2 linked regions of the Rhinolophus ferrumequinum genome follow. The protein of the gene in region 1 interacts with the protein of each later gene in a pairwise test. Links are inferred from orthologs where the notes say so. Each region holds a gene or a part of one and is shown on either strand. Other genes may lie near its edges.

Region 1 (7,161 bases):
ATGAGAAAGTCCCCTGTAGGTAGAGAGGAGAAAAGGTCGAGTCAGTTCAGCTTGCACTGGGGGAAGCCAAGGTCACTGGAAGTGGTTCTGTGTCTTAGACGGCTCTCTCACCTCTCTTGATCCAGATGTTCTTGCGGTATTTGGAGGGCATGCTCACCAGGAAGCACTGCCCCTGGGCTGTCTCCACCTCGTGCAGATTGTTCCCTGGGGTTCTGAGTACCTGGTCCAGGAGAGACCAAGAACCAGTCGGCCTCATCAGCTAGCTCAAAGACCCCCTGCGCCACCCTGCACTCTTCCCCCACCCCAGGGCCCAACGGGAGTGGAGGGGTGGGGGACGGAGTAGCTTGTGCCCAATGCTACTCACCCTCACGATCTGCTGCTTCTCGGAGGGTACCATGTGCTCCCCCTGCACCTCCTTCACCACGTGCTTCCTCTTGGTGGCCCGAGACATGTTGGGTCCTGTTCCGGGAGGTGAGGGACGCAGAGGCTGTCAACTCCTGCTCCTGAGTTTCTTGGATGGCAGGTTCAGAACCCAGGACTGTTTTGAAGATGGGGAGGGACTTTTTACTGGGGAGTGACACAGTGTCCTGGTTAAGAACGTGGGCTCTAACATCTAATTGCTTGAACTGAAATCCTACCTTGACTATTTCCTGTGGACGAAAAAAAGGGGTTCCATGGAAACAGAGTAACCTGATCATAAATTCAGAAATGAGCAGGTCATGATGGGTGGTCACACCCCAGGCATATAACTTCTTTAGTCAAAGGTTTTTAAGCCAGCCAAGTAATACCCCTCTAAAGCACGACCACCCTCAAAGATAGCACATAATCTTATTAACTACTCTGCAACCCAATCCCTGCCCTGCTTTCTCCCATCCTCAAGTCATCTTCCTTAGACCCCTCCTCCTTACTTTCTAAGGCATAAAACAAACTGCAAAACTATTATTCTCCAGAGCATTTTAGATCTTGCTTGCTAGCATAGGTCATCGGTTTGGCTCAAACTCTTATAAAAATTCTCCATGGTGATATGGGAGAGCCCCTCACTACAGAAATTTTAAGTCTCCTTTTCCCTAGTTTCTTAGCTCCTTAGCCCCGGGTTTTGATTACTCTTCTGATCAGTTTTTGAATCCTAGACTAAAGAGTGCTCCTCGCCTGAATCAGAGAATGTCTCTTAAAAGCCTATGACTTCCCAACATCCTCCAAGCCATTCCAGACCCCCCAGGCCAGTATACTTGTTAATTGTAATCAGTGAAGCCTAAGGTTCTTTTCAACCCATTCTGGGCCCAGCTCCTGGACAACTGATGCCACCTAAATGGTTGAATGGCCACAGGCTCCATAGTGCTAATGGATTTATTAATTAAAATCTATTTTTCCTCATTCAGGGGCTTTGGGGATACAGAGGATACCCCAGCAAGATTGCCAGTCGCAACCAAAGAAGCCAACATGGTCTTCCAGGCAGGTCCCGAGACCCCTTCCTCTCACCTGAGATCAGACAGGGCGAGAGTTCCGTGAATCCCCCAATAGGTAGGGACAGATCTTCGCCCCCGTCCAGCAGGAAGCAGATACAGAAAAAAAGACCTTCTGTCCCTCAACTTCCCATAGAGTTTTTATGGGGATCATGTCTCTCAAGGGGAAAACAAGGCACGCAGTTAGAGCTAGGCATCAGGTCTCTGCATCCCTGAACAGAATGCGACTGCCCAGAAGACCTCCCCTCTCCGCCCAAAACTTCCCCTTTTCATTGTAATTATCTGCGCCTATGAGGAACAAATGGGTACAAAATACCCAACTAGATTAAACCAGCCCCTCACTCCTGAGCAGCAAAGACCACAATTTCACCTGGGCCTCATTATCCCATCATTATAATATCATACATACGCCTGGGAGTTCATTAATATCATTATAACAGACTGAATTCTGGGAAAGAACATGCACAGTCTAAAAAGATGAGGTAATAGCCTCTTGTCAATCACAGGTGTCAATCAAGTGGTCCCACTCCCGCAAAGGAACTGCCCATTCTAGAGGGAAAAAAGGATAAAAACTCCAAGTCCTCCCAGTCAGGCCCTTTTTGATCCTGGGCCCTTAGCCCTTTGGGCCTTTGAGCCGGGGTCCTTTTTTGAGTCTCTTCTTTTGCTCAGCCCGCTCCACACTCTTTGGAGTGTACTATCCCTTTTCTTAATGGTCCTTGAGCCACTGCTTTCTGCTCGGCCCGCTTCTATTTCCTTGGAGAGTACTATCTCTTCTAATAAATTGCTTTTCCACCACTTGATCACGGTATCTCGTTCAATTCTTTGTTCCAGATGCCAAGAACCTGGACACCCTCCGGTAACTATGGGTTTGGACGTTCTTACATTGACATTCCTTACTGTTTAACTTTCCCAAGCCACAAAGAAAAATAACAGCTAACCCAGAACATTGTCATTACGATGCAATGATGTGAGCAACGCACTTAGCACAGTGTACGGCAGATAAAAATAAGTCATGTTGTCTTAAGTACTGGCATAACATAAAAACTAAATAAATCACTCTGGCAACCGTTCACGGAGGAGTGTGAGATAAACTATCTTCCTCAATATGCTTGTACATCCCAAATACAGCACAGCCATACAACACAGATACTCACTTCAACAGACTACAGACAAGAGACCAGTTTGGAGACCACCGAGATGGTCCAAGCCAGGAACGAGTTCATTAAAGGTCGAGGAAAGCCGGCGTGGTCTGCGGCATCTGCTATGTTTCTGACGGGTTCTGAGAAAACAAGAATTGGCACCACCAAGACTGGTGGTTTCTAAAGGAAACTCCGCGTGTCACCTCAGGTTGCCTTTTCCTGCCCTCCTCCCTCCCTATCCCGGAGGTAAGACGCGCACAGACCCCACACTTACTTTCTGGCCCTCTTCTCCCAAAGGCGTTGCTTGAACGATTCCGTTCTTCAGGCTGGACGCTCGCTGGGAGCGGCTCGTCCACGACTCACTTCGTAGAAAAGGAACTTGCCGGCGATCACGACGGTAGCGTCAACTTGGACACAGATCTCCGGAGTCTCCAGCTCCTGCCGGACTCGTACAAGTCCCACAGCGGTGAGGGCGACACGAATCGGCCTGAGTCGGACCCTTCCGAGTACGGTACTTCCGGCGGCCTCTCGGAAGCCTTCGGCCACGCTCCTCCCTCCTTGTCCGTTCCTTTAACTCTTCCCACCCCCAGATCGCCAAAGGCTAAGTCCTTGAGTTCCGGATGCCGTGCAGCGGGGAAATAAAGTTTTCTCCACCGAAGCCTCTGCTCCTTGAGACCGGAAGTACTTCTGGAGAAGCGAGACAATAGAAGGCAGCCCGGTTTCCCGCGAAGCGACCGGAAAGGAGCCCCTTCTAAGGCCGCCGTGAGGTCCAGGGAGCCTCATCTCTATGGCTCTGAGTGGCTAGAAGTGCCACATTTTTTAAGTGGCTCTTGAGGCGACCCGGAAGCGGAAGTAGAAGAACGTTCTAGTGAGTTGAGGTATCGGCGGGAGCAGCCGGGCGGTAGGAGTATCCGTTACGGGAGCTGAAGCTGCCGGTGAGCGCGCGCTGCACAGCAGGGCTTGGACTGGAGGCAGAGGAGGCGCGAGAAGGAGGGAAGCCGTAAGCGCCACGGCCAGCCAGAGAATGCGCCCTCGGAGAGGGCTTGGCGGCCCGGCGAGGAGGGGCGGGACGCGGCGCGCGGGCGCGGCGGCGCGTGGAGGAGGCGGGGCGACGCGTCTCGGGGGCGGGGCCTTCGAGGCGCGGCGGGAGCCCAGACGTGAACCTGGTGGGGCTGGGGCACTGAGCTGGGGTGTGCGCTCTGGCCCGTGCCTGTGCTCTCTGAGCAGCCAATTGGGGCGGGTGGGGCAGGGGGACCCTTTGTTTGCTTTTCTGGCTGGATAGCCCTTCCAGGCAGAGTCAGTACCTCCTTTGCCCAGCCAAGGTCACAGAGGGAGTGACACCTTCAGGGCGAGTTCTGGCTACTGACCGGCCTGCGCCACCTGATAGGGCAGGATAGTCTTTCCTCTGGGGCAATACCAAAACCCCGTTCCCGCAGGGAGTGAGAGAGATTTCTCTCTTGAGTAGTGGGAAAAACTTGCCTTGGACCTCAGTTTTCTCATCCGTGAAATGAGGGGAATCGAATAACCCACCATAATCGCTGGTCTAGCTTCCTTTAAATATGATATTGCCAGTGGGCCTTTGGGAGTTCCCGGGTTTTCAGTCCTAACCTACCTTTTCTTGGGATTCGTAGATAAATCCTGATCAAGATGACAACATCCCAAAAGCATCGAGACTTCGTGGCAGAGCCCATGGGGGAAAAGCCAGTGGGGAGCCTGGCCGGGATTGGTGAAGTCCTGGGCAAGAAGCTGGAGGAAAGGGGCTTTGACAAGGTGTGCGGAGGCTGCATGCAGCTGGGGAGGGCTGGGGGTGGCAGACTACAGTATTGCCTGGCAGTTTGGGAGCGAGGAAAGTGAGTGTATCTGGTGGGGGAGGACCGTGGTATATAATCTGAAGAGGTAGCCAGAGCCTGCCCTGCCTCCTAGGCTCATGTGCTCTGAATGCCACAGGAGTGGCCTTGTTCTTAGTCCCACAGGGCACTGAATAGCATGCCTTTTATTTTGCCTGTTTTGCAGGCGTATGTGGTCCTTGGCCAGTTTCTGGTGCTTAAGAAAGATGAAGACCTCTTCCGGGAATGGCTAAAGGACACGTGTGGCGCCAATGCCAAGCAGTCCCGGGACTGCTTCGGGTGCCTCCGAGAGTGGTGCGATGCCTTCTTGTGATGCACTCTGGGGAGCCCCCAGTCCCTAGCCCCAGCCTTGAGTCTCCAGAGTTTGCAGCCGAGTGGGGGCTCCTCCCCTGCCCTGTACAAAGGATTGATGTCTGCTCAGCCTGCAGTGTCATCCAGGGTCTTCAGGGAGTTCTCTCCCCTTACCATTTCAACTTTTTCAGAAGTTCTTCGTTTTGCATGCATCTCTCTTCTCTCCCCTGCCAATTTCATGTTGATAATTACCAGCTTTTCTGAGTGGATTCCTGGCCCCTTCCCTCACCCACACCCTCCTCGCCGGTCTGTTTTATGCCATTTGGCTTCTCTTTTGGCAGAATAGTCGTTGTCCTTACAAAGTTTTTTAAATCAATAAAGTTAGTGGCCTTCAGGACTGGGTTTTGTGCGTTGAAAAACAGATGGGCTGGGAGTCGCCTCTTCCCCAGGGGCTGATCAGGTCTGTCACACTCCTTATCAGTGCCAGTCGAAACTGGCAGCTTCCTCCGTACACCGGAGGGCAGCCACCCTAGCCACATAAGCCTCAGGCAGGTGCCTCAAGAGTGCCTCAATCCCGTAGTAACATGGGAGAGAGTGTGGGTTGGTCCCTTCCTGGGATCCAGGTGTGCTGTGCCATTCCCGATGTCAGCTGAGTCAGTAGCTGAGCTAGCCGGCACCTGGTGGAAAAGGAAGTGGGAGTCAGAGGTACCAGGAAGAGGGGGACGGAATGTGGGTAAAAGTTCACCTGCTAATCATCATGTGCTTTCCTGGCCTTTGGGAGGAGTGGGCAGGGCTCTTGCGGTCTGGGAGGCAGAGAGAGCATGGGATCACAGCTGAGGGCGAGTTACACTTTTATCTGGTACATTTTCATCCTATTTTTGATTGCACGCTTAGTGAACCAGCCCCACAGCTAAGATCTTTATCAATATTTTTTTCTTCCACAGTAAAGAATTGTTTTCTCTTTTACAGGTGAGGAAACCAGGGACTCAGAGAGACTGGACTTTCTGCTAGGAAGTGCCCCCATTGGCTCTCAAAATAACTTAGAAGCCCATATACCTGAGAGCCCTGTGTTCTTTGGTCATATCCTTCAGCCTCTCTGAGCCTCAGTTTCCCCACTTGGAAAATGAGATGGTTGTAAGGATCAGATGAAATGCTAACTGTGCAGCACCCAGCCCTGCTTGGCTTTCAGTCTTTTGAGTGGGGCCTCGCTGAGGAACTGCTGCGTAAAGGGCGTTCCTCAGAGGGCTCCCAGTCTGGTGAGGACAGACCGACACACATTAAATACAAACATTGGGGTAACAGGAGAAGATTTTCCTGACTTCAGGGTAGGGAAAAATTAAGAAGAAAAAGTTGATACATTTAACTCCATTAGTAGAAACTCCATCTAAAGATACCATAAAGAGAGTGACAGACAAAACTGACTGAGAGTGGGAAAGGATATTTGTAACACATACGTGACAAGGTACTATATCCAGAGTATATAACATAACTGCAGTGAAGAAAAGCAAACAAAACAATTACATTAGTAATCAGAAATGCAAATGAGGTGTTATTATACACTCACTGGATTGGCAGAAATTTTAAGCCAGACAATACCAAGTGATGAGGAAATGGAGCAACAGGAACTGATACCCAGCTGGTGGGAATGGCGATTGGTCTAAACACTTGGGAAAAACAGTTGGGTGTTTTCTATAACTGAACACCCACCCTGTGAGCCAGCTATTCCACTGCCCTGGAGCTATGACCGAGGACACTCGCACACCTGCTCCAGCACCGACGGGAGCCTTCAGAGCTGCTTTTTTTCTAACAGCCCCAACTGGAAGAGCTCTGATGGCTGTCAGTACCCGGGGAAATGAATTCACAACAGCTGTGGGACAAAGGTGACACTCAATACTGAGCAAACATCAAAATATACACGTAAAGTCAGGTCAGTTGTTGCTTAGGGATCTCTAGATAGGTGGTAAAACGAGAAAGAGCAAGGAAATGGGTTATTGCAAATGTCAACAATGATTGCCTTTGGGAGTGGGACGTGGGTATGGTGAGCAGGACAGCCTGGGGGCGGGAGTGGCAGTTTCCATTTCTTGACCTGTGTGGTGGTAGTACAGGTGTCAACTGATAAAGGGAACAGAAGTGTTCTGTGTACTTGACGTTAGCTCCGTCTCAATAGAAGAAGGAAGATAAAAGGGAAACCAAAGTAAAGACCTGGGTATAGAGCGATTATACGAGTAACTGGAAACTATGGTGGTTATTAGTACAGATGAGGGTTCCGAGCAAGGTTGGGTCTGGGAAGTTGAGTGGCTCCCTTGGAAGGGCACCAGGTAGCCAGAGCAGGGCCCGGCTTGTGTTACAGGCCACCTCCTGGGAGGGTGCCAGTCTGCAGCCCAGACCGAGATGGTAATGCAGACTGTCCCAGGAGTTTCA
Region 2 (7,156 bases), on another chromosome or scaffold:
TAAACCAAGATGAGTAAGCACCCTGACACATAAACTCCTGAGTGAGTGAAGAACAGTTTATGAGATTTTCCTATGGATATTATATATCACTTTCTAGGAATGTGTATTTTAACTATTGGTATTAGCTTTATCAGAAAAGTCACATTTTCCTAACCCAAAATTACATTTTCCTGTAAGAATCATAAACAGAAATACAACTACTTAAAGAAATCAAACCATCTAGCTAGAACTAGGTAATCAACTTGATGTAGTGATGGGAACGCGAAACAAATCATCAGAATCTCAAGCAAATACCTTCTTCCCCACACTGTGATTTCTTATATGGCCTATCAAAGAATCTCATATTAACGATTCTGATTTCAACTCTAGGACAGGGCTAGCTAAATGTTACAACATTAAAGCAAGTCATTTAGTTTCCCAAAAGAAAACAGATTAAACAATTACTTTTATTAAGGTAAATAAAATTTTAGTTTTCACTGTCTAGCTCATGCATGAGCCACACTGATAAACAGCCATTAAATGGGAAACCAAATTGGTCCTATAGGAGGAACTGCCTATGGAGTTGGCAAGAGAGGTGTGAGAAACTCTCAATGTGATTATTATATTTAGAAGGTGGTGAGCCCTAGTTCTCACCTGACTGACACTGTTATTGGCCCCAGGACAATTTCTGCAAGGTAAGAATAGCACCTTTTCTTTAGGTATGAAGCCAGAATGATGCCATTTTATAGACTACCTAGTAGGACTGAACTAGGGTCCACAGAATACTCTCAGAGCAGCTCAGACCCAGGCCAATGCCTAAACAAAGGGAAAGCGAAACTCTTGGTGAGCACTACTCACTGATCCTCTGTTCCAAAAAACTTCACAAAGAAGCACTTCTTTCCACGAGGTTTCTTCAAGTCCTTGGGTGGATTAACAATCTGGGGGATAAAAGGGAAAAAAAGGTTTTTTCCCACCATTCTAAGTTGGTAAGAAAAAAAAAATCAAATAAAACAAAAGAAATGTCTTAAAAAGAAAAAAACCGAGCGCCTAGTATGTATCCAAATTTGGCACTTTTCTACTGAGATGTGTGGAGATGTACAAATATTCCAAAGTTCTCTACATCTAACATGTGGCACATCGTTCAGTAGATACGGTATTCCTTTACTGCAATGCCCCTGTTTTAAAAGCAGTTAAAACTAAGACAAATATCATCCCCTCATCCCATGTGACCCTGTCATCACTGAAGAAATGTAGAGGACACTTTTAAAAATACTTCTGTGAAGGAAGAGTTGAGACAGGTAATAGTGACAAGGAAAGGCAACTGAAGCACTGAAAATACCATATTGCAAGGAGACAGTCTAAAGACATTTCCTGGGCTCCTAGCAAGAATATAAAAACAGAACATTTGGAAAGCTATGACGGATCGCCTCATGCAAAATTTGAAATGCCAACTTCTGCAAAGATGCACTGGAGCAGCACATATGGTAACATAGAAGATTTAAACTTAGTTGGGACAAAAATACTTTGACTTTTCACTAGTCTACATTTAGATTTCTATCTTCCTGGAGAATTTATTTTCTTCTCCTTTCGTTAGATTTAAGTGTAAAGCTAAATTCAAATTAGAATTGATTTCCAGGGTTAAAAACCTCCACAAAACCATCTCTGATTCAAGAAATAAGCATTTAATGAAGATTAAGTGATCTGGTTTATATTATATTGCCTTTTCTAAATGAACTGATGTTCCAGAAGAAAAAATTCTGTTACTTAAAATAGGCAGTTTAACTCAATGCTAGAAATTGAAGGGAATGCATCTTACATTCTCCACCTGTTCAAACCCAACTTCAGATGTCTTCCTTTAGTTCAGTAGCAAGAGACTCACCTTTCCTGGCCAAGGAGGATACCTGCCGAGTTTCCCCCTAGAGAAAACACAGAGAGTCAGCACTTGCCCTGGAAAAGCCAGTCCATCTTCTTCAACCCACTCAACATGCAATTTATTTTCCTAAATCTCCACTTGCATCCTCAAGTGCCAGAACAAAAGCTGGCACACAGGAGTTCTTAATCTGGCTTCCCCAGTTGGACTCAACAGGCCCAAACTCCTCAGAAATGGAATGCAAAATTGTATACCTATGTGCATAAAGTATGTACATTCTTCTGGTGACAAGGGATACAGAACAACAAAACCGCCAAGAGCCACTTGTCTAGAGCCTCCCCGTGACGGGGGTGGGGGCCAGTTTGCTCTGTAAACACAGACTTCCCCTTACAAAGTCTGGTTTAATTCACCGCGAGACCAGCTGGCTTTGCCAAATGCTAATGGAAGCCTTCCTCTGGGTCGAGAAATAAGCTACGCAGCTCGACCGAGGCGGCGACAGTCAGTCTTGGTTCGGGCGGTTGTCTGGGACACAGAAGAAGACCACAAGAGGCACCCAAAACGGCACTGATCACTGCCAAGCCTTCGGTTGTAAAGAAGAAGTCTCCTCTCCATTTCTTCACCGGGCAGCGCCATCAGTCCGGTTTCGACACCCTTGGCCAAGCCGCCCGCAGAGTTCGGTTCCATTGCAACGCTGGTTTTAACGGGCTTGCCGGGGCGAGATGGCCTTGAGGGCTCCCCCGCTTTACAGGGAACCCCAGCAAGACCCCGAGGAACCCGCACCGCGGGTGGCTCCAGAAATGCCCCTCACAGTAGCCGTCGGCGTCCGGGTCCGGAGCTCAGCTCTCTCCCGGGCGGCCTCGGAGCCCGGCCCGCCGCGGCCACCCTCGGCCTCAGTCCCCCGGGGCAGGGCTGCCCCTTCCGCCCGGCGTCGCTCCCAGCACCGGCACCTCGTCTCGCCCTCTCTCCGCGGCCTGGAGCGCCCAGAAAGGCAGCTCCGGGGCTGTCCGCCAACCCCGCGCCCAAAGGAGCAGTTTCCCGTCGCACCTCGCTTGGCCCCGGACGCCCGGACTCACCACACCAAATCGCCGAGCCGCAGACTCACAGCCGCCATCTTACCACCCAACCACCACCGACGCACAGGCCGCCGGGAACTTCAGGTCGCCCCGGCGCCGCCCATTGGGTTGAGTCCGGCCACGTGACGGGGGCCGGCTGTCATCGGCCACGCCGCTGCTCTGACGTCGCCACGCCCGCCGGTGCTTATTGGCCGGCTAGGCGGCACGTGACGCGGGAGCCGCGGTCTCCGCGCGCTGGAGCCGAAAGACTCCCGGCTCCTTTCCCCTCCCTTCGGCTCGTGACAACGAAGCGCCCGGGATCTGAGGCGGCGGCGACGGCGGCTGTGCGGCCGGTCCAGCGCGCAAAGGAGCCGACCCTGCGACCCGCCCCGCCTCCGGACCCTGGTCTCCATTCCCCTCCCCCACGGCGCTTCCGTTACGGCCGTTAGTCCCGCGCGGGCCCCGGGGCCGGCCGCGTCGCCTCGCGGGCAGCTACCCTGACGGACCTCGGCGCGGCCTGGAAGCCAGCCTCCGCCCGTGCCCGGGGCCCCGCACCCGGGGTCCCGCGCCCGGCGGGCTCTGCGTGGCCGCGCCCGGGGGCGAACGGGTCCTTCAGAGCGCGCTTTTTGCCAGCTGCGTCCGGGGAGCGGCTCCGAGCCGGAGCCCGTGTCCGCGCTTCAAGTTCTCCCGGGGCGCCAGTGCAGCCCGCCTCGAGGTTCCGAGTTGATCGGCCGACGTGGAGCCAGAGTCTCTCCACTTCCTCCTGGGCCGGCAGACGGCACGGCCAGCGAGGCTCCCCCGGGCCCGCGGGGACCCAGCCATGGGCCGCGGCGCGGGTTGGCCGCCCGCCGGGAGGCATGGCTCCGGGACCGGCCGCTAGCAGCGCCGCAGCCCGGGCTCCCGGGCCGGCATGAGGACGGTCGCGGGGGGACAAGTGCGGCCCGCGGGGCCGTAGCTTGCGTCGCGCTGGGGACAAAGGTGCGTGTCTTTGTCGGGACCGGGCTCTCACTTAAGCCGAGTTGTAGTTTGACACTTTTGGAGAAGTTAGGAGCAGGTTGTTGTGACAACAGGGAGGCGGATGCCAGGCGTAGTTTCAATACGTGAAAACAAGCCGTTGAATGAGGAACTAGGAACCGTTCACAGAGACTGCCCAAACGTCAGATTCCTGCTAGAAAATAAACATTTTCAAAAAGTCCCATTCCCAATTACAGACCTCAAGGACTCTTAAGTCAAGTGTTGACTTAACTTAGACTGGACTTTTCTTGAGTCGCCGCCTGCTTGAAAAGATTGCAGGTCCACACACATCTATCTCCCTTAGGCGTTTTGTTACACGGAGACTTTGGTTGTATGTGGGATATTTTTGTTTTTGTTTTAGCGAACTGGCTTGTCCACAGCTGGTTTTTCACTGGAATTCAGTTTCCCTAAAGTACTGTCAGTTTTAGGAACTGTCATTTACCGTCTTGAATTGTTTCAAAGACCAACCGATAATTTAAAGCACATTTGTGATTCCAGGAAATAATTTCATAAAATTCAACATATGTTTCTGATTTTAAAACTCTTAAATTTTGAGGATTGAGGGTTATTTTAATGACTTGATAAAAAATGTGAATTTTAAATTAACTTCACACTTGGCCTAGAGGCATTCCCGTTACAGTCAGGAACATGGCAAAGAATATATTGTCTAATATTATCCTGTAAGTTCTAGCCAATGCAGTAAGACCTGAAACAAAAACGAGACACCATTTTTCAGAAAGGAGACAAAATTCTCATTTCTGTGGATGATAGGACAGCCTATTTTGAAAAAAAGCCTATTTTGAAATTCAGTAAAGAAACTAATTAGAAACTCAGCATACAAAATTCAGTTTTTCTATGTTTCACCAATAATTAGCTTGAAAATACAGTAATTGAGAGGACGTTCAACAAAAAAATATATCATTCCTGGGAATAATCTGAGATACAAAAAGAAGCTAGCATTTCTTGGGTAATATCAATTGAGGGTTTTTAAAAGGGATGTTGTTTGTAGAATACTGTGCTTAGAATAAGGTTTAACTCCTTAAAGGTGAGTACAGGCATACCTCGCTTTATTGCACTTAACTTTGTTGCCCTTCACAGATGTTGCGTTTTTTACAAATTGAAGGCAAGACCCTCCACCAGCAAAAAGATTACGACTTGCTTTATTGCGGTTGTCTGGAACGGAACCTGCAGTATCTCTGAGGTATGCCTGTATTTAAATACTTAGGTTTTCTTTTTTTCAATAATTTTTTTTTTTTTTAATATTGGGGAACTGTATTTTTCCAGGGCCCATCAGCTGCAAGTCAAGTCGTTGTTCTTCAGTCAAGTTGTGGAGGGCGCAGGTCAGCTCCAAGTCCAGTCGCTGTTTTCAATCTTTAGTTGCAGGGGCACAGCTCACCATTCCTCTGTGGGAATTGAACTGGCAACCTTGTTAAGAGCTCCTGCTCTAACCAACTGAGCCATCAGGGCGCCCCCTTAGGTTTTCTTAAGGCTTTAAATTTTGCTGACAAATCTTGTTTCATTTACAAATCTAAGAATGTTTTTGTAAAAACAGAAGTACTTCATCTTTGACAGAGCTTCAATTAAGGCACCAGTTTAACAGATTAAATTTTCCTAAACAATAAGCTTTTTATTACAAAGTTAAATTCCCTTAAATGTGTTAAATTGCATTTGAAGTTTTAAATGCTTGTTCTCTCTAATACTTCAAACTTCTAAAACAGGGAACTTATAAACCAAATAGTAAAATCTTTCCAAGGACTTAGCTTTTGTAAGGCTAATAAATGTATAATGGTAAGATTCTTTTAAAAGAATATTTTTGAACCTAGTTATATTTTCTTAAGGATTTCAAATTAAAATTGTAAGTCTGACGTCAGACATTAATATGTCTGAATCTCTTAAACGTTTCTAATGGCCTAGTAACAAGCAATAGCAGTTATCACGATGACTAAAAATCTAAAAGGCTATAGGTTTGACTTACATGATTCTCTAGTATTATATCTATAACTTCTCAGGCCTGCAAAGTCACTTAAACAACTAAGGGAAGCAGTTTTACTATCTAGGTGGATTGAAGTTACAATGTCTAAAATTTGGGCCAGGTCGTTTCTTGGCCTTTTGGCTAAGATCAAGTGTAAAATTTGGGCCAGGATAAGGGTATATTTTAAAATTACTGCCTGGATTGGGGCAGGAACCTGGTTGTCACTTCTAGGATGACCTTCCTGTATCCCATCGGTTACTTGCAGATTCTCTTTTTATAGTGAGACTTTGCCTGTCTTATCGATGAGGGTAACTTTCAAGCCTTCAACCTTTAGCTGAAATTTATTTTCACAACCCAAGTGTATCACAAATGTCCTGGGGGCCTCGAAAGTTTCCTTTAGAGGAATTTCTTTCAACGTCTTAATGCCCGATGGTCTTTTGCACCACCAACCTGTTTTGCTGCTAATCACTTTGCTGCCTCATTAGCATTATTTTAACTATTTTTAGATATTTTACTCCTTTGTCTGGTATTATAGATCACAGTTTATCGTCACAATGGAAAGAATGAGAATTGCGTGTACTATATAAATATCTTTATATATGTATGGGAATATATGATATAAATCTTTTTGAATTCATATTTATGATTCATTTACAGTTAAAATGCAGTGAGTTTTTTGGGAACTTGTCAAACTGATTCTAAAATTGATCTGAAATAATAAATAGGCTGGAATAGCCAAGTATTTTAAAAGAAGAAGAATAAAGATGAATGTTAAAATCAAGATGTTAAAATATACCATAAAATTTCTTAAAACAATATGGTACTGGTTAAGGAATGTTTAGCTACTACATCAATATGATAGGATGGATTTCAGAAATAGACCTTAACTCTCACTGTGTTAATTGATTTCAAGGTTTTTTTCCCCAAAATGTGTCAAAAATCCACAAAAAATAAAAAGTTGATATTTTGACTATTTTATGCATTTAATAACATTTTGAGCTGCTTTGTACATAAATGACATTTTTATTTTAAACATTTATTATGTGGTGATAAATTTATCATTACCTTTAATTTTAGCAAAAACCACTCAAAGCATACTAAGTGGTATCAATTAGATATAAGTATAGATATATTAGAATCTAATGGCATTGATGACATAAAAATTTATTACAAAATGTTACACAATATGGCATACAAAACATCTTTGTTGTTGATAGTGCAAGCCACAGGAAAACACATCCGAATGTCACAGCAAAAGAGTTAAGATAT

What was found.
Region 2: the proteins of EIF1AD (region 1) and GLYR1 interact in binary tests that used the Homo sapiens proteins (3 or more experiments, as listed by UniProt). The two-hybrid records come from large-scale screens. The link is inferred for Rhinolophus ferrumequinum from reciprocal best matches to the Homo sapiens genes EIF1AD and GLYR1.

What each region holds. Positions count from the first base shown.
Region 1 is NC_046294.1:5,844,701-5,851,861, reverse strand, and holds the start of EIF1AD (probable RNA-binding protein EIF1AD), read right to left. Parts: upstream 3,019-7,161; 5' UTR 2,877-3,018; intron 2,743-2,876; 5' UTR 2,618-2,742; intron 568-2,617; exon of another isoform or gene 460-567; 5' UTR 452-459; coding exon 365-451; intron 221-364; coding exon 112-220; intron 14-111; coding exon 1-13. Other genes in the region: BANF1 (barrier-to-autointegration factor), read left to right, coding at 4,250-4,372, 4,616-4,762.
Region 2 is NW_022680357.1:5,961,071-5,968,226, forward strand, and holds the start of GLYR1 (cytokine-like nuclear factor N-PAC), read right to left. Parts: upstream 3,035-7,156; 5' UTR 2,961-3,034; coding exon 2,923-2,960; intron 1,896-2,922; coding exon 1,859-1,895; intron 918-1,858; coding exon 838-917; intron 1-837. UniProt on the Homo sapiens protein: Cytokine-like nuclear factor with chromatin gene reader activity involved in chromatin modification and regulation of gene expression. Acts as a nucleosome-destabilizing factor that is recruited to genes during transcriptional activation.